Linked DNA regions of Anolis sagrei. The protein of the gene in region 3 interacts with the protein of the main gene of each other region in a biochemical or structural test. Links are inferred from orthologs where the notes say so. Each region holds a gene or a part of one and is shown on either strand. Other genes may lie near its edges.

What was found. The genes of interacting proteins can lie anywhere in the genome.
Region 1: the proteins of GTF2B (region 3) and GTF2E1 form a complex in vitro, tested with the Homo sapiens proteins (2 studies listed by BioGRID). The link is inferred for Anolis sagrei from reciprocal best matches to the Homo sapiens genes GTF2B and GTF2E1.
Region 2: the proteins of GTF2B (region 3) and GTF2F2 form a complex in vitro, tested with the Homo sapiens proteins (2 studies listed by BioGRID and IntAct). The link is inferred for Anolis sagrei from reciprocal best matches to the Homo sapiens genes GTF2B and GTF2F2.

Annotation. Positions count from the first base shown.
Region 1 is NC_090022.1:165,541,454-165,549,316, forward strand, and holds the start of GTF2E1 (general transcription factor IIE subunit 1), read left to right. Parts: upstream 1-4,375; 5' UTR 4,376-4,486; intron 4,487-7,802; exon of another isoform or gene 7,803-7,863. Other genes in the region: RABL3 (rab-like protein 3), read right to left, coding at 4,226-4,271.
Region 2 is NC_090023.1:144,294,182-144,302,677, reverse strand, and holds the start of GTF2F2 (general transcription factor IIF subunit 2), read left to right. Parts: upstream 1-5,008; 5' UTR 5,009-5,133; coding exon 5,134-5,199; intron 5,200-8,496. UniProt on the Homo sapiens protein: TFIIF is a general transcription initiation factor that binds to RNA polymerase II and helps to recruit it to the initiation complex in collaboration with TFIIB.
Region 3 is NC_090024.1:151,969,608-151,977,595, reverse strand, and holds the start of GTF2B (transcription initiation factor IIB), read right to left. Parts: upstream 3,614-7,988; 5' UTR 3,542-3,613; coding exon 3,525-3,541; intron 1-3,524. UniProt on the Homo sapiens protein: General transcription factor that plays a role in transcription initiation by RNA polymerase II (Pol II). Involved in the pre-initiation complex (PIC) formation and Pol II recruitment at promoter DNA.

The DNA of each region.
Region 1 (7,863 bases), on a different chromosome or scaffold from region 3:
TATTATTTCAGTTTTATTGTATACTGTAAATGTAAAATAAGAGATTTAAATTGAATGTGCATTATTTTTATTAAAGCACTTGTAAGTGAAAATGAGGAGGAAGGAGTGCAATAGTGCAGGTATCCCTGGAAGAGCCAGATTGTGATGGTGGCACGTGATCCCTGCTGAGGGGAACAGATGAAGCGGTTTGCATGTCTAATGGGGTGACTTCAGAAGTGTGCTATCCCCTAAGAGCAAAAATCTGTGATGTAACAAAGAGACTGATAGGTTTCCTTCTTTTTGGTCAACTTGGGAACCGATAACTCGGCAAGACATAGTCTTCAGGATAGTAAAGGAAGTTGAAGGGCTTTGATGCAGTTTGTAATTTTGTTTATTCTCTCAGATGAAACAATTGTATATAAACAACTGTATATAATTACACTACATAACATGAGTTTTGTTCCTAATTGACTCCATCATAAAACCATAGGAAATGATTATTAATATAGATTTGTTTTTATGGGACATCCTGCAGCAGATTTTGCTATAGTCTTTCCATGAATATCTCAGAGTCTCAACTAATTCAACATAGTTTGCAGCAGCCACATAAAGTTTCTGGAGTATAACAACTAGTTTCAAAGTAAGCACCACACAATGAAACAGGAAATAACACTTTCAAACAAGGAACAGATTTTTTTTTCAAATTTTGTTATATTGATAGTATTATCAATCAAAGGCAATATGTGGGATACTGTATATGTGCTGTTTTATACCTGCACACTGATTCCCACAAAAATCGGTTTTGTAATAAGGATAGTATTTCTTGAAGGTTTACTTTTTATTTGAGAAAGAAGAGTTGTTGTTTTGAAAAGTGACCCTGATGAGAAAAAATCCCACTAGGGTAGATTTTGTAAAGGTTTATAGAAATCTGGGTAAGTTTTTATGAGGCTCAGTACTAAGTTTACCGTAGATGTATGTGTGTGAAGAAAGGAAGAATCCATATGTAGGTGCACTGCATGTGTCATTAAAAGCAAATGTTTCTTTGCTACAATCAGTAGAGTGTAACAGGGAAGTTTACAGTATACCCTTTGGAGTTCTTTGCAAAACCTTGCTGTAGAAGCCAAGATCTCAGCATTTTGTATATTGCAATACAATATTGCATATTGTATGTATCATGCACTTTGAAAAACCATTTGTTTTGCATATCATAGAATCATAGAGTTGGAAGAGACCACATGCAGGGGCGGCTCAACCCATTATGCAAAGTAAGCATTCGTAGTATAGTTGATTTTGCCCAAGGGCGCTCTTGAGGGGCTCTTGGGGGAAAATAGACCTTGACATATGCGAGGTGTTGTTACTGGGATGTATAGTTCACCTACAATCAAAGAGCATTCTGAACTCCACCAATGATGGAATTGAACCAAATATTGCACACAGAACTCCCACGAACAAAAAATATATATCAGTGATTGGTTGAGGGGGGGGGGGCAAAATACTGTTTGCTTATCATTGAAAATTACCTAGGGCCATCTCTGACCTCATGGGCCATCCAGTCCAACCCCCTGCCAAGAAGCAGGAGTTTGAAATAAATAAACAAAGGAAAGAAAGGAAGGGGCCTGAGGCTGTAAGGAATGGTGGAAGATGAAATCCAAAACACCCAGAGAGCCCAAGTTTGCTCATGTCTGCTTTATTGGCACACAACAACAAAATCAGCCTCCTAATGTTGTATGCACAGCATCCTAATGTTGTATTTCCTCATGTTGTATGCCCAACCTGAGAAAATCACAGATAAAAGAAACATCCTGAAAAGTGACTCATCTCAAGGATAACATTTGCAGTAGTCTCACAAAAGAGTGCATCAGAGTTGTTCAGAAGATAGAGAATTCAGTAATGCAAATCAAAATACAGCTTAATCCATCTTAGCTTAATCCGTTCTGCTGGACCTCTCAGCGGCCTTCGATACCGTCGACCACGGTATCCTTCTGAGTCACCTCGCGGGAATGGGCCTTGGTGGCACTGCTCTGCAGTGGCTCAGGTTCTTCCTAGAGGATCGTACTCAGAAGGTGTTGCTGGGGGACAACTGCTCTACCCCACAACCATTGACTTGTGGGGTTCCGCAGGGCTCTATATTGTCCCCCATGTTATTTAACATCTACATGAAGCCGTTGGGAGAGATCATCCGGAGTTTCGGAGTGCGGTGTTATCTGTACGCAGATGACGTCCAACTCTGTCACTCCTTCCCACCTACTACTAAGGAGGCTGTTCAGGTCCTGAACCGTTGCTTGGCCGCTGTATCGGACTGGATGAGGGCGAACAAATTGAAATTGAATCCAGATAAGACAGAGGCACTCCTGGTCAGTCGGAGGGCCGAACAGGGTATAGGGTTACAGCCTGTGTTGGACGGGGTTACACTCCCCCTGAAGATGCAGGTTCGCAGCTTGGGTGTGATCCTGGACTCCTCGCTAAGCTTGGAACCCCAGGTCTCGGCGGTGTCCAGGGGAGCATTTGCACAACTCAAACTTGTGCGCCAGCTGCGCCTGTACCTTGGGAAGTCGGACTTGGCCACGGTGGTCCACGCTCTGGTCACATCCCGGATTGATTACTGCAACGCGCTCTACGTGGGGTTGCCCTTGAAGACGGCCCGGAAGCTTCAGATGGTCCAGCGCTCGGCAGCCAGGTTGCTAACAGGAGCGGCACTCAGGGAGCACACCACTCCTCTGCTGAGCCAGCTCCACTGGCTGCCAATCCGCTACCGGGCTCAATTCAAGGTGCTGGCCTTGGCCTATAAAGCCCTAAACGGTTCTGGCCCCGCTTACCTCTCCGAACGCATTTCCGCCTACGAACCGACTAGAATATTAAGATCGTCTGGGGAGGCCCTGCTCTCGATCCCGCCTGCGTCACAGGTGCGCTTGGCGGGGACGAGAGACAGGGCCTTCTCAGTGGTGGCCCCTCGGCTATGGAATGCCTTACCAGCAGACATCAGACAGGCACCTTCGTTGCTGGCGTTTCGGAGAATGGTCAAGACCTGGCTTTACGAACAAGCGTTTGGCTAGGCAATGCAACTAACTAAGGAAGACGGTAACTGAACATAGGAACGGCACAATGACTATGAGAATGGATCTGACTTTAACGAAGGCGCTATATATGTTGTTTGTTGATTTGTCTGTCTGATGTTAATTGTGGAGCGACGTTGTCATCCCGGTTGTTTTATTGCTGTGTTTTTAATTGCACTGTAAACCGCATAGAGTCGCCTGTCAAGGGCTGAAATATGCGGTATAAAAGTGAAGCAAATAAATAAATAAATAAATAGTAAACTTTTCCTCCATTTTAGCAGGAAGAAATGAAATGCAAAGATACAGAATGGGGGACAATGCCTGGCTTGAGAGCAGTACGTGTGAAAAAGATCTTGGAGTCCTCGTGGACAACAAGTTAAACATGAGCCAACAATGTGATGTGGCGGCAAAAAAAGCCAATGGGATTTTGGTCTGCATCAATAGGAACATAGTGTCTAGATCTAGGGAAGTAATGCTACCCCTCTATTCTGCTTTGGTTAGACCACATCTGGAATATTGTGTCCAATTCTGGGCACCACAATTCAAGAGAGATATTGACAAGCTGGAATGTGTCCAGAGGAGGGCGACTAAAACGATCAAGGGTCTGGAGAACAAGCCCTATGAGGTGCGGCTTAAGGAGCTGGACATGTTTAGCTTGAAGAAGAGAAGGCTGAGAGGAGATATGATAGCCATGTATAAATATGTGAGAGGAAGCCACAGGGAGGAGGGAGCAAGCTTGTTTTCTGCTTCCCTGGAGACTAGGACACGAAACAATGGCTTCAAACTACAATAGAGGAGATTCCATCTGAACATGAGGAAGAACTTCCTGACTGTGAGAGCCGTTTAGCAGTGGAACTCTCTGCCCCGGAGTGTGGTGGAGGCTCCTTCTTTGGAAGCTTTTAAACAGATGCTGGATGTCCATCTGTCAGGGGTGATTTGAATGCAACATTCCTGCTTCTTGGCAGGGGGTTGGACTGGATGGCCCCTGAGGTCTTTTCCAACTCTAGGATTCTATGAAGTCCAAAACACCCGGAGAGCCCAAGTTTGCCCATGCCTGTAATACTAGTACCATTTAAAAACCAAGTGATTAAAACCCTTACAAGCATTATGGAACACAGTTTGCAACATAGGAAACGCTTGCGGCCTGGAAGCGTCATGGCGAGTGTGATTCCTTCCCTTTCCCTTCCACTCACCGGAGTCGCCCAGCACCAGCACTTTCACCCGCTCCAGGGCCGCCATCCCTCCTCGCCGACCAAGAGCCACTTCCTATTCCGCCCACTGGCCAGTCGCTTCCTTCCTATTGGCCGAGGAAGGAGCGGGGAGGCGCGAGGAACGCCAGGCGTCGCTTAGTAGTGACGTCAAGCGGAATCGTGTTTGGAGGCAGAGTCGTGACGCACGCCCGCGCGCGCTGAGGGTCTCGCGGCGAAGGAGCTTGGCTTTTGGGTCCCTCACAGGTCAGTCCGAGGGCTGTACCGGCTCCAACCCTTGCCTGCCCCGAGGGCCTCTTTCTTGAGGGAGTAGCTTGGTGGGCTTGTGTTGCTATTCTGTGCTCTTCAAGGGAAAACACTCGGATGGCGGCGGGCCAGAATACATCTGCCTCAGGAAGAAAAGCAGCAGGGAGAGTGTGGTCACCTGTGGCAAGAAGCTTGCACGCGTGTTGGGTATAACTATGCCATTATCCGGACGGAGGCTAAAAGGGGAGCTGGACAGAGAAGGGGAGGGGGTGTTATTTAGAACTTTTATATACCGGTCTTCTCACCTCCAACGAGGGACTCAGGCCTGTTTACAACAAGGGAGTTCATGCACAATAGTTTAAAAACATCACATCAATAATACACTAATATAAACACATTAAAGCACTATCATCATATATAAAGCAAGTCGTTAGTATAAAAATCACTATGCGTCCCCATCTGTCCGTGTGGTCAAAAGTCATTGCCTCATTCATCAAATGCCAGATTCCAAAGCCAGGTTTTCACCAACTTTCTAAAGGTCAGGAGGGAAGGGGCAGTTCTAATTTCCAATGGGAAAGAGTTCCAGGGCCAAGGGGCCACCACCAAAAAGGCGTCCCCACCAAACGCGATTGCGAGGATGGTGGGACCGAGAGCAGGGCCCCTCCAGAAGATCTTAACAACCTTGAAGGTTCATAGCTTCCGAGCACAATTCAAAGTGCTGGTTTTGACCTACAAAATCCTTTACGGCTCCGGCCCAGCATACTTGTCCGAACGTATCTCCTTCCACATCCCACCTCGGAAGTTTAAGATCTTCTGGGGAGGCCCTGTTCTCGGCCCCACCTTTATCACAAGTGAGACTGGTGGGGACGAGGGACAGGGCTTTCTCGGTGATGGTCCCTCACCTGTGGAATGCACTCCCCGGGGAAATTAGGTCATCAACATCCCTCCTCTCCTTCAGGAGGAAGTTAAAAACCTGGATTTGGGACCAGGCCTTTGGGTAAGCTGGCAGATGGATAAAAGACAATGATGACCAGAGTAGAAAAGGACAATGACAATGCTGGATGGATTATGAATGTATGAATTGGCGAACGTTGACCACAAGATGATTTTATTGCTGCTATTGTATTAATTTGATTGTTTTAACTAGTTATAACGTCGTTATATTGTATTTTGTATATTGTACTTTGTGAATTGTTGAGCATCGAATTGTACCTATTTTTGTAAGCCGCCCTGAGTTGAGAAGGGCAGGGTAGAAGCACTCCAAATAAATAAATATGGGAGAATCCGTTCCGATAGGGAAACTGGGCCGGAGTTGTTTAGGCATTTGTAGGTCAACACCAGCACTTTGAATTGTGCTCGGAAGCTAATTGGCAGCCAGTGGAGCTGGCGCAACAGAGGAGTAATATGCTTCCTGTACCCCGCTCCTGTTAGTAATCTGGCTGCCGCTCGTTGGACTGATTGCAGCTTCCGAGCAGTCTTCAGAGGCAACCCCATGTAGAGAGCATTGCAGTAGTCTATACGGGATCTAACCAGAGCGTGGACCACCGTGGCAAAGTCAGACTTCCCAAGGTACGGGCGCAGCTGGCGCACAAGTTTTAATTATGCAAAAGCTCCCCTGGGGTTCCAGGCTCAGCGATGAGTCCAGGATCACTCCTGAGCTGCGAACCTGCGTCTTCAGGGGAAGTGTAACCCCGTCGATCACAGGCTGTAACCCTATGCCCTGTTCGGCCTTTCGACTGACCAGGAGTACCTCCGTCTTGTCTGGATTTAATTTCAATCTGTTCGCCCTCATCCTGTCCGCTACAGCGGCCAAGCACCGGTTCAGGACTTGAACAGCCTCCTTAGTAGCAGGTGGGAAGGAGTAACAGAGTTGGACATCATCTGCGTACAGAAGACACCGAACCCCAAAACTCCGGATGATCTCTCCCAACGGCTTCATGTATATGTTAAATAACATAGGGGACACTACTGAACCCTTCAGGACTCCACATTACAATGGCCGTGGGGTCGAGCAGGAGTCCCCTAGTAACACCTTCTGGGAACAACCCTCGAGGAAGGACTGGAGCCACTGCAAAGCAGTACCCCCAAGGCCCATTCCCGCGGGCGTCCCAGAAGGATACCGTGGTTGACAGTATCGAAGGCCGATGAGAGGTCCAGCAGAACCAACAGGGACACACTCCCCCTGTCTAGTTCCCGGCAAAGATCATCCACTAAGGCGACCAAGGCTGTCTCAGTACCATGTCCCGGCCTAAAGCCAGACTGCTCTGGTAGGCTGTTAGGAATTGTGGGAGTTGAAGTCCAAAACACCTGGAGGGTCCAAGTTTGCTCATGCCTGAGTTAAACCATTTCCCCTCTGTGTTCCTGTTATTCCTCTCACCCATGCCCCTTCTACATTACCATATAAAATCCAGATTATCTGCTTTGAAGTGAATATTCCTGCTTCTTGGCAGGGGGTTGGACTGGGTGGCCCATAAGGTCTCTTCCAACTCTAGGATTCTATGATTATAAGGGCTCTTCCACACTGCCCCTTTATCCCAGAATCTGATCCCAGTTTATCTGGCATTGGGGACACATACATTCCAGTTTAAAGCAGATAATCTGGGATCAGATCCTGGGATGAAGGGCAGTGTGGAAGGGCCCTAAAATGTTCAAAGGTCTGGAGACCATGCCCTATGAAGAGCATCGTAAAGAGCTGGGGATGTTTAGCCTGCAGAAGAGAAGGTTGAGAGGAGACATCATAGCCATGGATAAATATGTGAAAGGATATCATAAGGAATAGGGAGCAGACATGCCCTGGAGTTGGGCACTCACTGGAACAATGGGTTCAAATTCCAGGAAAGGAGGTTCCATGTGAATATTAGGAAGAATTTCCTGAATGTAAGTGCTATTTAGCAGTGGAACTCTGCCTCTTTTTTGGAGGCTTTTAAACAAAGGCTGAATGGCCATCTGTCGAAGGTACTTTGATTGTGCTTTTCCAGCATGGCCCAATTCTGTAATGGAGTCTTCCTCTTTTCCTACTGCCTTTTACCTTACTAAGCATTATTTTCTTTTCCAGTTAGCCATGTCTTCTCATGGCCCTTAGTCATCTTGGCTTTTATAGGGAGTTCAAATTTGATTTGTTCTAGAACCAGTTTGTCTTTTCAACAGTCCGCAGTATTTGTAGAACTCTGCCCATTTCAAATGAATTGACTTTCTTCCTGTCAACTATCTTCACAATCATACATGGACACGAGAAGTACAATGACATGGAATACTTTATCTTTAGTGTTCAGTGATATATCTTAACAATTCAAGTTATTGTTTTATTTATTATTTATTTAGAGCTTTTATAACCCAGTCTTCTCGACCTCCGAAGAGGGACTCATGCCGGCTAGTTC
Region 2 (8,496 bases), on a different chromosome or scaffold from region 3:
TATGTTCTGTATCAGAAACTAGAGCTGTTGTGGTCTATCCAATGCAATTTTCTGAATCAGCACCCCAAATAACCAAACTGAATCTAAAGTTGACCAAAAACTGATTCATAACCCTTTTGGTACTAATATTGGAGAATGTTCATTGGTCAAAGCGGTCCCTGGTCAAGTGGTCCATGATCAGGCATGTAGCCGGGGGGGGGGGGGGCTTGGCGGCTTGAGCCCCCCCCCCCCGAAATTCTCATGGTGGTCCGCGAGAAGGCCTTACTAGTACATTATTTAAACTGTTATGTTTATTCATATCATGATCTGATCACCATGCTCAATATATCCCATATGCATGGGGGTATTGGGGTAACGATACAAAAGGTTTGCTAGAGCAGACCCTCTATCACTCAGACTCAGCCCCCCCCCAACCAAACTCAGCCCCCCCCCCCCCCCGAAACAAAATCCTGGCTACAGGCCTGTCCCTTGTCAAAAAAAGATTGGAAAGCACTGGTTTATGGTCATAGCATTAGTTATGTGCCAAAACTGGATAAGAATTGATTTCTAAGTGTCTCTTTTTAACAAAAGATTATTTGAGTGTCCTCAAATGAAAATTTAGTCAATAACCACACATTAACTAAACGTTTAGTTTGAATCTTGTGCTAAAACACAAAAATAATTATTGTCTGGGGACATTTATTTAATGTATGAAATGTGATTGTTCCGTTGCTTAGGAAACAGTTTTAAAAATGCTTCACCATGAGTGCCCTTGAAATACAAAGGAATAATGCTCATCCTTCCAGATGCCAAGGGGCACAGCTGTGTTACTAGTCCCTGGCTCATTGGGAGGAAAGTTACCAATACCTGATATTAAAGCACTAGTCTAGACATTTTGCTGCCTGCAGATGTTAGATACCAACTCCTGACGGCCCTAGCTAGCCTTCCTCATCAGATGATGGGGACCATGGTCCAAGAATACTTGGAAGACCACCCATTTGCTACGCCTAATGGATATTTTCCTGGTAGCAAACAAATATGAATAAGGATCCTTATGGATAGAAAAATATGTAAGCAAATATAAGTTCATTGTATAAGATAACCATTATCAAAATTGTTGTTGAAAAATTTATCTCCCCTCCAAAAAATAATGAATTAAACATAATTTCTATTATATATATATATATTTAAAATTAATACAAGTTCAGCAGTTGTGAAAGCCCTATGGTTCCATCTTTTGAAAGGGTTCATTTCTGCAACCAGCTGGAGCCTGGACATTCCTGGAGGGATTAAATCAGTGGTTCTCAATCTGTGAGTCCACATGTGTTTTGGCCTACAACTCCCAGAAATCCCAGCCAGTATAACAGCTAGGTTGCTGCGAGTTTTCCAGGCTATATGGCCATGTTCCAGAAGCATTCTCTCCTGACGTTTTTGTTTGTTTAATAATGTAATACAACTGTTTGGTTTGCTCCTGATACGATAAATAAATACCCTCTATAGCAAGCATCCTTTGAGGACAAAACATTAGAGCAGACTGCTTCTGGAACATGGCCATACAGCCAGAAAACTCACAGCAACCTAGTGATTGCGGCCATGAAAGACTTCGACAACACAGTTTACCAGCTGTTAGGATTTCTGGGAGTTGAAGGCCAAAACATCTGCAGACCCGCAAGTTGAGAACCACTGGATTATATCAATCATATTCTAACAAGCCCAAAAGCCCTGGGGACCCAGTGTGGTCTGGTTAGGTATTTTGCATGCTGTTTATTGTTTGATTTGGGGTTTTATGAATGGTGCTGTTAGAAATAGATATGGCTCTCTGGATGTGGGATACAAGAGGATCTTGGGATGTGGACAGAGCACAGCTGCCATCATCCTGGGCCAATCCCCACCAACATATGGTCATGATGGTAACCCTTCTCTCGGTCCCACCTCCAGTAGCTCCACTGGCTGCCAGTCTGTTACGGGGCATACTTCAAAGCACTTGACGGTTCAAGTTCAGGTTATTTGGTTGATCACATCCCTTTGTATGAACCTGCCCAGGCCCTGAGATCCCCAGGAGAGGCCTTTCTCTTACTTCCACCTCTATCTCAAGCTCAGTTGATAGAAATGAAGAGCAGGTCTTCCTTCTCAGTGGTTGTCCATCAACTCTGGAACCCCCTTCTTCCCAAGGAAGGCAGAATGGCCCTCTTCCTGCTTTTATATGTTTTTATGGATTTAATTTGAAATTTTAAAAATACTAATGATGTTTAAGGTAAAGCTAAAGGTTTTCCCCTGACATTAAGTCTGGTCGTGTCTGACTCTGGAAGTTGGTGCTCATCTCCATTTCTAAGCCAAATAGCCAGCGTTGTCCATAGCCACCTCCAAGGTCATGTGGCTAGCATGACTGCATGAAGCGTTGTTACCTTCCCACCTATTGATCTACTCACATTTGCATGCACAGCAGGAGCTCACGCCGCTCCCCGTATTTGAACCTGTGACCTTTTGATCAGCAAGTTCAGCAGCTCAGCGGCTTAACTCACTGTGCCACCTATTGATGTTTAATGCTGTTCTAATATTTGTATATTGGTATAGTTATGACAATGTCTAACGTTTGGTTCTGTTTTTATTATTATTACCAGCTTGGGGACCTGGCGGTGCCCAGGTTATTTGAGAACGGCATTGTTTGCCTGTGCTCCAAGTGTAGTTTAGGTCCAATGTTGGCTGGGTTCAGTGGTTGCAGGTGAACTACAGCTTCCATATGGAAGTTCCATTGACCATGGCCCATCCTCCTCCAAACTGCACCAGGATGCAGAATGGGTCACGGGGGCTCTGGTCTTGAACAGTTATTGGTATGTGGCACTGTGATCTGAGGAAGCGAGTGAAGGTACTGGAAGTCCCATCATCCATGGTCTGTCAGCCCAGAACCCGCACCAGGACATAGAGTGGGTCATGGAGGCTCTATGTGCCAAGTTTGCTCTTTATCAGTCATTGGTGTGGGTCTCAGTGTTCTCAGGAAGTGGGTGAAGGTACCGCAAGTCCCATCATCGATGGCCCATCATCTAACAAACCATGCCAGGAAGTAGAGTGGGTCATGGGGGCTCTATGTGCCAAGTTTGCTCTTGATCAGTCATTGGTGTGGGTAGGAATGGTCTCAAGAAGTGAATGAAGATACTGTAGTTCCCATCTTGTAAACTGTAACCTGCCCTGATCCCTCACTGAGAGACAGGGCGAGACAGAAATAAAGTTTTATAAATATTTTCAATTGTATGCTGATGTTTTTATGTTAACTGCTTTGCATCTCCTGCGGCAGAGATAAGGTGATGTATAAATAATAATTAATGGGTCTGTGTGTACCACATGTGGTTGAGATCCATCATTGGTGGGTTTCACAGTGGTCTCTGGATGTGGGTGGAGTGCAACCCCCATCAGGAAAAGGTAAAGGTTTCCTCTTGACATTAAGTCTAGTCATGTCTGACTCTGGGGGTGTGGGGCTCATCAAGAGCCAGCATTGTCCATAGGCACCTCCTAGATCATGTGGCCGGCATGACTACATGGAGCGCCTTTACCTTCTTGCCCAGGTGGTACCTATTTATCTATGCACATTTGTATGTTTTTGAACTGCTAGGTTGGCAGAAGCTGGGGCTAACAATGGGAGCTCACCCTGCTTCCCAGATTTGAACCACCAATCTTTCATAGAATCATAGAATCAAAGAGTTGGAAGAGACCTCATGGGCCATCCAGTCCAATCCCATTCTGCCAAGAAGCAGGAATATTGCATTCAAATCACCCCTGACAGATGGCCATCCAGCCTCTGTTTAAAAGCTTCCAAAGAAGGAGCCTCCACCACACTCCGGGGCAGAGAGTTCCACTGCTGAACGGCTCTCACAGTCAGGAAGTTCTTCCTCATGTTCAGATGGAATCTCCTTTCTTGTAGTTTGAAGCCATTGTTCTGCGGCCTAGTCTCCAAGGAAGCAGAAAACAAGCTTGCTCCCTCCTCCCTGTGGCTTCCTCTCACATATTTATACATGGCTATCATGTTTCCTCTCAGCCTTGTCTTCTTCAGGCTAAACATGCCCAGCTCGTTAAGCCGCTCCTCATAGGGCTTGTTCTCCAGACCTTTTATCATTTTAGTCACTCTCCTCTGGACACATTCCAGCTTGTCAATATCTCTCTTGAATTGTGGTACCCAGAACTGGACACAATATTCCAGGTGTGGTCTAACCAAAACAGAATAGAGGGGTAGCATTACTTCCCTGGATCTAGACACTATGCTCCTATTGATGCAGGCCAAAATCCCATTGGCTTTTTTTGCTGCTACATCACATTGTTGGCTCATGTTTAACTTGTTGTCCACGAGGACTCCAAGATCTTTTTCACACGTACTGCTCTCGAGCCAGGCGTCACCCATTCTGTATCTTTGCATTTCGTCTTAGCCTCTAATATCCTTTTGGTCAGCAAGTTCAACAGTTCAGCGGTTTAACCCGCTGTGCCACGGGCAGAACCCCCATTACTTCCCTCCCAAAAACCTCACTATTTTAAGATAGGTGTGATGGGTCTGTGTGTCAAATTTGGTCCAGATCCCTCATTGCTGGTCATGCGACTCTCTGGGTGAGGGAGCCATCCTGAAAATTTTTGTTGTTGTTCATTCGTTCAGTCGCTTATGACTCTTCGTGACCTCATGGACCAGCCCACGCCAGAGCTCCCTGTCGGCCGTCACCACCCCCAGCTCCTTCAAGGTCAAGCCAGTCACTTCAAGGATGCCATCCATCCATCTTGCCCATCATCCAACTTCCTTTTTCCTTCCATTTCCCCCAAGCATTGTTGTCTTCTCTAAGCTTTCCTGTCTTCTCATGATGTGGCCAAAATACTTCATCTTGGCCTCTAATATCCTTCCCTCCTGAAAAATACACGCATACATATTTTGACTTCTATTTATGCAGCTATGCAATCACAGGTGCCTCCATCAGTCCTGCCCTGGCCTTTCTTCTCCCTGGCCTCCCCGTAGGCGGGGCCTCTCGAACAAGCCACGCCCACCGAGGAGGTGTGAGCGCGCAGCCAGAGACGCGTTTGGGACGGAGGCGGAGGTTTGGACGCTGTCGGCCCCCGTAAGCCGCGAGTGTGCTGTCGATTCCTGCTCGGGTAGCTGCCGTTGTGGAGAGCAAGAGGGCCGCCATGAGCGAGAAGGGGGAGCTGGACCTGACCGGGGCCAAGCAGAACACGGGCATGTGGCTCGTCAAGGTGAGCGGGAGGGAGGAAGGGAGGGAGGGAGAGAAGAGGCCTCCTCTTTCCGGGAAATGGCGGACAAAAGTTGCCAAACAGGGCGCAGTGTGGAGAAAGTGGCCTCCAAGGCTGCCCACCCCCTCCCCGCCCCTCACTCGTTGTATGAATGCATGGCGGTGCCTGAGGGAGAGAGAGAGAGAGGGTGAGTGAGGTGGTGACAGCCAAGACTTCAGGGGGCTCAGTCCCAGTCATGAAGCAGGAATGATCTGCAATGGAGCCCTTGAGTGCTTAGAGAAGGAGGACACCAAGAAGTGCGCTCTTGGAAGGCCAGACTGTCAAGGGAGAGGGGCTGCATTGTTCCTCTTCCTCCCTTGTACCCAGGGCCACATCAGCCTCGTGGTTGCCTTCAAGGGGCCCTTAAGTCTGTGGAGACAGAGGGCCAACTATATTTTTTTAACATAGTGAGCTTTATCACTGGGTTGTTGTAGGGTTTTTGGGCTATATGGCCATTTGATAGAAGCATTCTCTCCTGACGTTTCGCCTGCATCTATAGACAGCATCCTCAGAGGTTGTGAGGCCATAGGTCAGTGGTTCTCAACCTTCCTGATGCCGCAACCCCTTAATACAGTACCTCATGTTGTGGTGACCCCCAACAATGAAATCATTTTCGTTGCTAATTCATAACTGGAATTTTGTTACTGTTATGAATGGTTTTAGTTGCTGGGATTTATAGTTCACTTCCAATCAAAGAGCATTCTGAACTCCACCAACAATGGAATCGAACCAAACTTGGCACCCAGAACTCCCATGACCAACAGAAAATACTGGAAAGGGTTGGTAGGCATTGGCATTGAGTTTGGGAGTTGTAGTTCACCTACATCCAGAGAGCACTGCGGACTCAAACAGTGACAGATCTGGACCAAACTTGGCACGAATACTCAATATGCCCAATATGTGAACACTGGTAGAGTTTGGGGGAAATAGATCTTGATATTTGGGAGTTGTAATTGCAGAGATTTATAGTTCACTTACCATCAAGGAGCACTCTGAACCCACCCCACAATTTATCTGCTCCAAACTTGGCACACTACCTACATGGCCAATATTGAATACTGGTGGGGTTGGGGCAAGCTGTTTTTGAATTCTGGGAGTTGTAGTTCACCAACACCAAAAAAGGAAAAGAAGGATAGGCAGACATATGTTCAGCCTTTTCTCCAAGAGGGTTACTAAGACCATCAGAAATATGTTTTCAGATGGACTTTGGTGACCCCCCCTCTCTGAAACCGTCTCGTGACCCCCCCAAGAGTTCCAACCCCCACGTTGAGAAGCACTGCCATAGATGCAGGTGAAACGTCAGGAGAGAATGCTTCTAGAACATAGCCATATGGCCCGAAAAACCTACAACAACCTATAGTGAGCTTGAGTTTGTTGCCCAGTTCAGGTCCCCAGATGTCATTAAACGACAGCTCTCACCACTTTGAATTATCCACCATGTGAACTGGGGATGATGGGAATTGAACCCAACAGCACTTGCAGCTCTGGGGATAGGGAAACGTGAAAAGACATTTTAAAGCCAGGCATCCTGTTCACAAGCCGTGTATCTCAATTCAAGCCCCACTCTCCTGACCTATCCTAAAGTCACTCCACTTTTTGCCAATTAATTTCCCAGCAAAGTACAAGGTGGTGGTTTTGATCTTTAAAACCCCACATAGTTTGGGTCCACGTCACCTAAAGGATCACCTTCTCCTGTACAATCCATCTTGTACACTTTGGCTTTGACTACTGCAACACGCTGGGGTTGCCTATGAAGACTGTTCGGAAGCTTCAATTGGTCCAACAGGTGGCAGCCAGATTACTCACTGGAGCGGGGTACAGGGAACATACAACCCCCCTGCTGCGTCAGCTCCACTGGCTGCCAGTTTCCTACCAAGCACAGTACAAAGTGCTAGCTTTAGCCTATAAGAAGCAACAAGATCCTGAGCTGCGCTAATGGGGATTCTCAATCTGAGGAAATCTAAGGTGATCCTCCCCCCCAATCCCCCCCTCTGACCCAGCCAGGGAGCCCGGGGCAATCAGGGGTTCCGAAAGAGGCCCGAAAAAGGTCCGGGGGTCAGATTAACCCTAAAGAAGAGAACGGAGGAGGAGGAGGAGGAGGAGCGAGGTAGAGCGCTGCCATTACAATGCAGCCGCCTCCCTCAAGCCTTTAAGATCTAACCGTGGCGGTTCCTCGCGACACCATCACCGCTGCTGCCACCACCTATCACCTTACTACAGCCCGTTGCGGAGTCACCTCCAGGCTATTGAGGGTAGACTGCAGCGGGCCCGCCATCCCAGGCACGGCCCGGGAGTGGCCTATCATCCCAGGCACGGCCGACGTCGCCGCCGACGCCGCCAGCGGTATTAACACCCAGCGCTCCTTCGGGCCTGCTAGGCCCCGCAGCCACGAGCCCCTCCCTCCCGCCGGTCCGGGGGAGGGAGAGAAGGAAGAAGGCCCTCGAGCACTCCGTCGGGCCCATTAGGCCCCGCCGCCGCGAGCCCCTCCCTCCCGCCGGTCCAGGGGAGGGGAGAAGGAAGAAGACTCTCCAGCGCTCCTTCGGGCCTGCTAGGCCCCACCGCCGCGCACTCCTCCCTCCCCGCTGAGAACGCGCTGCTCGGATCCCTCCGTGCTTCCATCTGGTGGTGGCCGGAGTGCAGGAGCTGTGTTGGCTCGGCGCTGCCATTGTATTGCATCGGCTCGGCCCCCATCACCAATAGCAGCGGCCCTCTGCTGGCTGAGTTGTGCCACCAACAGTGGAATTCCATCATTGACTGCTTCCTTGCCATCCGGATCTCATCGTCAACGCGGGACATTTTCCATCGCGCCACTAGCGTCCGGAATAAACATCGCCACTCCTCCATTAGTGGGGGCCCAAGCAACAACCGGAAGGCCTAGAAGCTCAGTGTTCTGCTGCTGCCATCCAGAACTCATAGCAACAGAAATCCTGTTACCTCCTGCAACATCGCCCCCTTTGGCTGGAGGTGCAATTGATATCACTCCACACAGCTGCTAGAAACTGTCTCCTTGGAGTCACTGCCTGCAATATATAAGACCAACCCCCATTAAGCTTCATCAGCTTTCCACTGGGACAGTCAAGAAGAACTAGGGGCCAGGCCAAGGGGTGCCGGCTTGCTGTCCACGGGCCCTAGAAGCTGGGCCCTATGGTTCTAACTGCCCATCCTAGTTGAATGACATCGGGTTTCTTCTGTGGGCACTGACTTTGAGTTATTGAACTATTGAGCACTTTAGTCCATCACTGAGACTCTATGGTACTATTA
Region 3 (7,988 bases):
GCGAGTCCATGTTACATACACGTCAGCAAACAAATTGCAGACTCATAAAAGAAGTACTTTTCACTCTGCTGCCTTGCCAGCACCCTGGATACAATTCAGAAGAAGAACTTAATCAGCCTTCTAAGTGCAAGCAATGTTTAGCCACAACATTTAAGCACAGGGTTTGGCAAAGTGTGCCAAGCAAGTAAATTACTAAACAAACTCAGTGCACAAAGCAATCTGCTTCACACTACTTATCTAGGGCAATTGCACAAACTACCAGCAATGTGGTCATAATAAGGAAAGTCAGACAGCAAAAGATGTTGCTCAGCAGCAATTTTTTATGGATATGAAATGTAAGAGTTCATTGTTTTCACAAAAGCAGATTAGATATTAAAAAAACACACCTCTAAATATACTTGATAGTGCTTAGCAATGCACTAAAATGACCTGACTAGGAAGTTATATCACATTGTCTTCATTTAGAAATTGTACCTATAACGTCATTCATCCCTCAGAAAACACAATCCACATGTGAGTTCTGCTTATCTGTTTAATTCTCCAATGCCAGACACGGGCTATTTAGAAGATACAGCAATTCTATTTTCTTGCAATGACTTCAATTCTGGAGACTTGATTTTTTTATAAAAATCAACCTGGACTGCATTAACAAAAGAGTTTTTAAAAAGGCCAGGATAGTGACAAAGGTTTTTAAGCAGGATCCAAGACAGATGTTAGAAACTAAGTCTAGCAGCACTGCTAGTCCTACAAAAAGCATTATGTGAACTACTTCAGTTCCAATGTATGTGAGATGCAACTTGCAAGTTGATTCCTGCCTTTGCTGAAGTGTTAGTCCCCATCTAGACTGTCATATAATGCAGTTTAACTGTATTGAACTGAGTCTACATTGCCATACAATGTGGTTAAATTGCATAATGAAATTGCATTATTTGGCAATATAGATGGGACCTTAATCACTAAAATAAGTGAGTTCTGAGATGGAATGACTGAAGGGAAGGCTAGATGACAGATGAAGTCACAGACTTGGGCAAAGATCACTACAAACCAGGTTAAGGGGAAAGGTTTCCCCTTGACATCAAGTCTAATCAAGTTCATTTCAAAGCGAAGTACTGGCGTTGTCCATAGATGCCTCCAAGGTCATGTGGTCAATATGACTGTATGGATCGTTGTTACCTTCCTGCCAAAGTGGCACCTACTGATATACTCACATTTGCATGTTTTCGAACTGCTGGGTTGGCAGAAGCTGGGGCTTGCAATGGGACTTCACCTTGTCCCATGGATTCAAACCTCCAACCTTCTGGTCAGCAAGTTCTGCAGCTTAGCAGTTTAACCAGCTGCACCACCAAAGCCCCTAGAAACCAGGTTACCATTTCTAAAAAAAACAGTCACAGTTGCTATCCTTGCATTACCCAGATACTAAAACATTAGTACTGTGTAGTGTTTAAATTAAAGTTAGACTCTCAAGAAACTGACAATAAAATAATCAAAGAAATAAAAAGATTATAAATAAAACTAAAATGAATTCAATTTTAGCAGAAATGTAAGTTTAAACTTGGCACCATAATCCCACACCAAAAATGTTTTAAAACATATGTTACTGACCTTCATGAAGTTAAAAATTTACTGTTTGCCAATTAAATTAAAATACATACTGCCTTCACAAAGCTGTTTCTATGCTGCAGTAAAATAAGTACATTGAACTTGTCTTTATTTCCTTCTAATTACTGTATTTTAATTTTAATATCAGTTTATGGTATGGTGGATAGCATTCGTTCGGCTTGTTTATAATGATAACTCTAAAGCAGGCATGGGCAAACTTGTGCTCTCCAGATGTTTTGGACTTCAACTCCCACAATTGTGGGAGTTGAAGTCCAAAACATCTGGAGGACCGGTGTTTGCCCATGCTTGCTCTAAAGTAACCAGAAACTACATTTATCCAGCATCTACCAATCTCCATGGGTGTCAATTAGCAGAGAATCCACTGTACAGTAAACGTAATAATCATTGTGATCATTTCTGTTTTGTTTTGAACTCTCTCTCTCCCTTAAACTCTGTTGTTGGAAGGCCAGGAAATCTCTCATCAGCTGAAAGCATTAGTCACCTTTTACTGTACTTCCTTCATAACAGAGAGGCCTCTACAGGCTCTTCCCCACCTTCTCAGAAACTTTATGGAAGAGCCCCCAGTATTACGAAAGACTGTCTTGTTAAACACGACGTGTAACAAAGCCACACACAAAGGTAAAATCATTTTTTAAAAGGAAAGGGGTGAGAGTCAGATAACCTTTTATCTATATAAATAAAAATGTAATGTTAGTTTGTGGGATTAACAGAACTCAAAAACCACTGGACGAACTGACACCAAATTTGGACACAAGACACCTAACAACCCAATGTATGTCCTTCACTCAAAAATTGATTTTGTCATTTGGGAGTTGTAGTTGCTGGGATTTATAGTTCACCTACAATCAAAGAGCATTCTGAACCCCACCAACAATGGAATTGGACCAAACTTGTAACACAGTTCTCCTATGACCAACAGAAAATACTGGAAGGGTTTGGTGGGCAGTGTCCTTTGGTTTTGGAGTTGTAGTTCACCTACATCCAGAGAGCACTCTGGACTCAAACAATGATGGATCTGGACCAAACTCTACAGAAATACTCAATATGCCCAAATGTGAACACTGGTGGAGTTTGGGGAAAATAGAATCTTGACATTTGGGAGTTGTAGTTGCCGGGATATATAGTTCACCTACAATCACAGAGCATTCTGAACCCCACCAACGATAGGATTGGGCCAAACCTCTCACACAGAACCCCCATGTGGCCCACAGCAATGTGTGGCAGGGGACGGCTAGTATAATCTATATAGATAAATATGTAATGGCTGTGGGATTAACATAACTCAAAAACCACTGGACGAATTGGCACCAAATTTGGACACAATACACCTCTCTGGCCAACGAGTGACCATCACTCATGAAAACACTGAAAAACACAGATGAATACTTTAAAAGCCAAACAATAAAAAAAAACATTACAACGTATGCACATAAATACACACATACACACACACAAAGCAGACATACACAGACTGGGCCACAGCAATGCGTGGCAGGGGACGGCTAGTAATATAGTATGCAATTAATGTAAGTTGCCCCAAGAATGGCGTCTAACAGCCTTGCCACACATCCAAAATATGGGTTTAAAGGAGAAAGGCCTAGGGGTGTAGCCACACCACAGAATTACAGCAAGTTTGACCCCTCTTCAACTTCCACGGCGCAATGCTCTAAAATTCTGGGGTTTGTCATTTACGGGGGCGCCTGAGCTCCCTGACAGAGAAGGCCAAACACCTCCCAACACCCGAAATGCTATAGTCTGAACCGTGACACTGGAAGCAAGAGTCAGGCCGAAGTCTTTCCAAGCGGACTCCCTTCCTCCCCTTCCCCCGGATCAGCCGCGCTCTCCCTGGTCCGCTTCCGGGGGAGAAAAACCCATCCAAACCCCTTCTAGCTTCTCCCACTGACCGGCTCGTCGACGCCATCTTGCTTCCTCTTTTGCCGCGGCGCCTGCGTAGCGTTGGGCGGCGCCCCTTTTATGCCTTACGCTCCGGTGGGCGGGGCTTGGCGAAGGCCAGCCGCTACGGCGAGTGGCGTGGAACAATTGTTTTGCAAAGGCAAAGGAATGGAATGCGAGCCCAAGCTCCTCCCCTTTCCCACTCATTGCGAGGTTGTCATTTCAAGTCCGGTTTCTCTGCCAAGTTTGTGATCCACTTAAAGTGAATTCATTTTCTAGTGTGATACAGAGCCTGGTCTTTCCTGTTGAACGAATATTAGTGATGTGCATTCCTTGGATAGCTTAGAGCAGACTTTGGATTGGTCCACATTTGCAACAGTTTTGGAAGTGTCCCTTGCCAAAGGGTCTATAGATCAGGCATGGGCAAATGGAATAGTGTATCCAAGTCTGGGGACCACAGTTGAAGAGAGATATTGACAAGCTGGAATGTGTCCAGAGGGGGGGGGGGGGGGGCGATTGAAATGATCAAGGGTCTGGAGAACAAGCCCTATGAGGAGTGGCTTAAAAAGCTGAGCATGTTTAGCCTTCAGAAGAGAAGGCTGAGAGGAGACATGATAGCCATGTATAAATATGTGAGAGGAAGTCATAGGGAGGAGGGAGCAAGCTTGTTTTCTGCTGTCTGGAGTCTAGGACGTGGAACAATGGCTTCAAACTACAAGAGAGGAGATTCTATCTGAACAAAAGGAAGAACTTCCTGACTGTGAGAGCTGTTCAGCGGTGGAACTTTCTGCCCCAGAGTGTAGTGGAGAGTCCTTCTTTGGAAGCTTTTAAACAGAGGCTGGATGGCCATCTGTCAGAGGAGTGCTTTGAATGCAATTTTCCTGCTTCTTGGCAGGGGGTTGGACTAGATGACCCATGAGGTTTCTTCCAACTCTATGATTTTATGATTCTATGATTCTACATTCATTAACTACTGAGCCACCCACTTAAGAAATGGCAATCTACTGTGTTCATCACATGAGGTAAGCTTCAAGTGTAGGGTAGAGATATCTTGGGGATAAAAAAGCATTGCAAAGGGTTATCTAGCCGAGGGGCCTTCTCCATTGTGGCCCCTCAGCTTTGTAACTCACTACCTAGTGAGATTAGGCAAGACCCCACCCTGGCAGACTTTAAGAAAGACCTAAAAACCTAGCTCTTCCAGCATGCCTTTGACTTCCTCCTTCCTTGCTTGCTTGCTTCCATGTGTTGTGTGTGCCATGTGTTACTCACCCAGGCACCTTCTTCCCTCCTCCTCCTCTGGTTGACCTCAAGAGCCATCCCCCTTCTTTCTGCCATGTAGCAAAAGCACAATCAATCAATCAATAATAATAACAACAACAACAACAACAACACTTAATTCATATTCTACCCGATCTCCCCAAGGGGACACAGGGCGGATCACAGTATACATACACGGCAAACATTCAATGCTGTTTTGGATAGAAAATACAGAGACTGACAAAACAGAAGGAGGTATGTTGTGTCAACATCAAAGTCCATTTTTTTCACGCCTTGGAAGGTTGTGCTTGAAATCTAGCCATGGGAGTGCTGTCACTCCATCCTCTATGACGAAGAGCCATCAGGACTTCCTCCTTCCCTTTGGTCGCCCAGCATTTTCTGATCTTTTTTCTTTAAGGTGTCGTAAAATACCTCCCCTGCTTGTTTTAGCGGTAAGCTGTTTTCAAACTGCTTAGGTCAACAGTAAGCAGGCTTGACAGTCAGCAGCTCACACTGACCCAGGTATTTGAACTGGCAACTTTTTGGTTGGTAGATCTTCTCATTGCTGGTGATTTACCAGCTGTGCTAAACCCCAGCCCAAAGCACCCCTGTTCCATCTCCCAGGAGCATGAGTTTTGCATTACCTTTTAGTTGCTGGAAACAGCCTCTCCTTGTGTTTATCCCAGGCTGCTGCAGCCTTTGCTAGGCCTAAAAGGTTAGCAGACAGAGGCAGGAAAGCCAGTTTGCAGGCTCTCTGCAATGATTGGCCAAAGAGTAGCTCTTTGGGCCCGCCCCTGTTTCCAGTGTAGAAGCATCCATTTTGGAGGTCTCCCTGCCCCTTCAGTCTTAAAGAAGAATCCATGATGTGCTGTTGGCAGACAGGTACCTCCAAAGATACCATTGTAAAAACAATTGAGACCGATAGATAGATAGATAGATAGATAGATAGATAGAGTCATAGATAGAAAACAATTTTGATTGAGTTATTTAGTTAGAGATAGATAGATTAAAAGAGAACTGTTTAGATAGTTATAGAGGATTATCTAGATAGTTATAGAGATACCCTTTTTGGAGAAAGTTATACCCTTTTTGGAAAAAGATTGCCTCAACTATTGAACCCCAATTGACTGTTTGTTTTGTAATATTGATAAGCTGAGCCAAGTCTACCAGGACTTCGTGAATAAATACCCTGTTTGATGTTTCAAACTTGAAGTGGACTCAGTTATTCAAGAAAGCTCAATCTTCTAAAGAAAGACCCCAGCAGTTCGCCCAGACCTAGATAGCAGCACGTCAAAGTTTTATTTTAAAGTGTCTGGGCGTAACGGCACAACCCCTAACAGATGGGCATCCTGCATCTGAATAATAATATTAAAGAAAATATGTTCCTAGTTACAAGTGTTATTTCCTGTTTAATTGTGTAGTCCTTACTTTTGTTGTGCTCCAAAAACTATGTTAAATTGGCGGAGACTCTACATGATGTTCAATCATTGAGAAACTAGAGCCAAATGTGCTATAGCAGGATGTCCTTGCAAAGACTAAGTTTTTGCAGTTTAATCATATTTTCCCATGTGTTTATGATAGAGGTAAATGTAAAGGTTTCCCCTAACATTAAATCTAGTCGTGTCTGACTCTGGGGGGGGGGGGGGTGTTCATCTCAATTTCTAACCCAAAGAACCAGCGTTGTCCGTAGATGCTGTCCTGCGGATTTGAACCACCGATCTTCTAGTCAGCAAGTTCTGCAGCTTAGCAGTTTAACCTGCTGCGCCACCGTGGAACCAATTAGGAAATTACATTTATAACCCAGGAATAAAAATCATAGTCCCATTAGAGGAAGTGTTCCTTTTCACCAAGAAAACAGGGGACAGTGAACGGGATCCACTCTATACAATGTGATGGCAAATCAACTGAGAACTCCTGAATAAAACAGATAGTTTGCTAGTGTGTGATGGAGGCAAGAAAATCATCCATTTAATTTCAAAACAGAGTATCTCTCAGCTGTATGGTAATCTACTCTTTCAAACACTTGACATGTTCAGTGGGATTACCTCTTTAATGTAATTTGACACCACTTGTCAAACTCCCTCCTGGGCACACAGAAGACTGGGCGACTTGAAAGATGCTGAACAGATTGCACTCTGGCACCACGAGATGCAGAGCCAATCTTAAGAAACTGGTCTACAAAGTGGAGTCCATGACATGCGAGTGTGGAGAAGAGCAAACCACAGACCACCTATTACAATGCAGTCTGAGCCCTGCCACATGCACAATGGAGGACCTTCTTACAGTGACACCAGACCCACTCGAAGTGGCCAGCTTCTGGTCAAAGGAAATTTAGTATAATGCCAAGTTTTAAACTTTGTGGTCTTCTATACATTATAACTCAATTCGCTTCTGACACAATAAATAAATACGACACCACTTGAACTGCCATGACTCAGTGAGAAAATCTACTGATCATGGGGAAATGACAAGCCCAGACTCTCTTCAGTGTATAAGACAAATGAAAACAGCTCTTTGTGTAAAAATTATGACGGAGTTTCAAATTTAATGATTTGTTCAATCAAGTCAACTTTACATGTTATAAAATTGACATTACTGAGTAGATACTTGAGGACCATTTTTGTAAAATAAAAATGCAAAAATTGAAGGGACAGTAACATATCCAGCTACCCAGTGAGAAAATGTAGTTATCATGGGGAAATGACAAGCCCACACTCAAGGAATCATACTGATCTCCAAGCCATTTCCCTCCAAAATCAGTATCATCTATGCAAAATCACTGTCCATAGAATCTCTTATTTATTCTAGCTACAAGGCCTTTGGCATGATTAGTTTTTGTATATATTTCTACCACAATTCTGTGCAACACCTGCTCAAAATATACTGACTTATAACTGCATTAGCTGCTCAGAATGTTGTTGTGCTATTTACTGAACTTACTCAAAGGTTTGAATATTATCATACATTCATTTGCAGCAAGCCCATCTTGAAGAGAGAAAACAGAACACTTCAATATCAGATTGACTTATTGAAGATGCGCAACTTGCAGCTGGAGCTGGAGAACAAGTTCCATAGGTCAAACCAGTGCCGCCCAGTTCATGGAGATCCAGACCCGAAAACCAGAATCCCCCACAGCAGGTCGCCAGAGGAGCCCGTCTCCTCTCTTGAGCCCGGTCCCTCCAGAGGAGGCCACAGGATCCGACTGCACTGATGTGGAG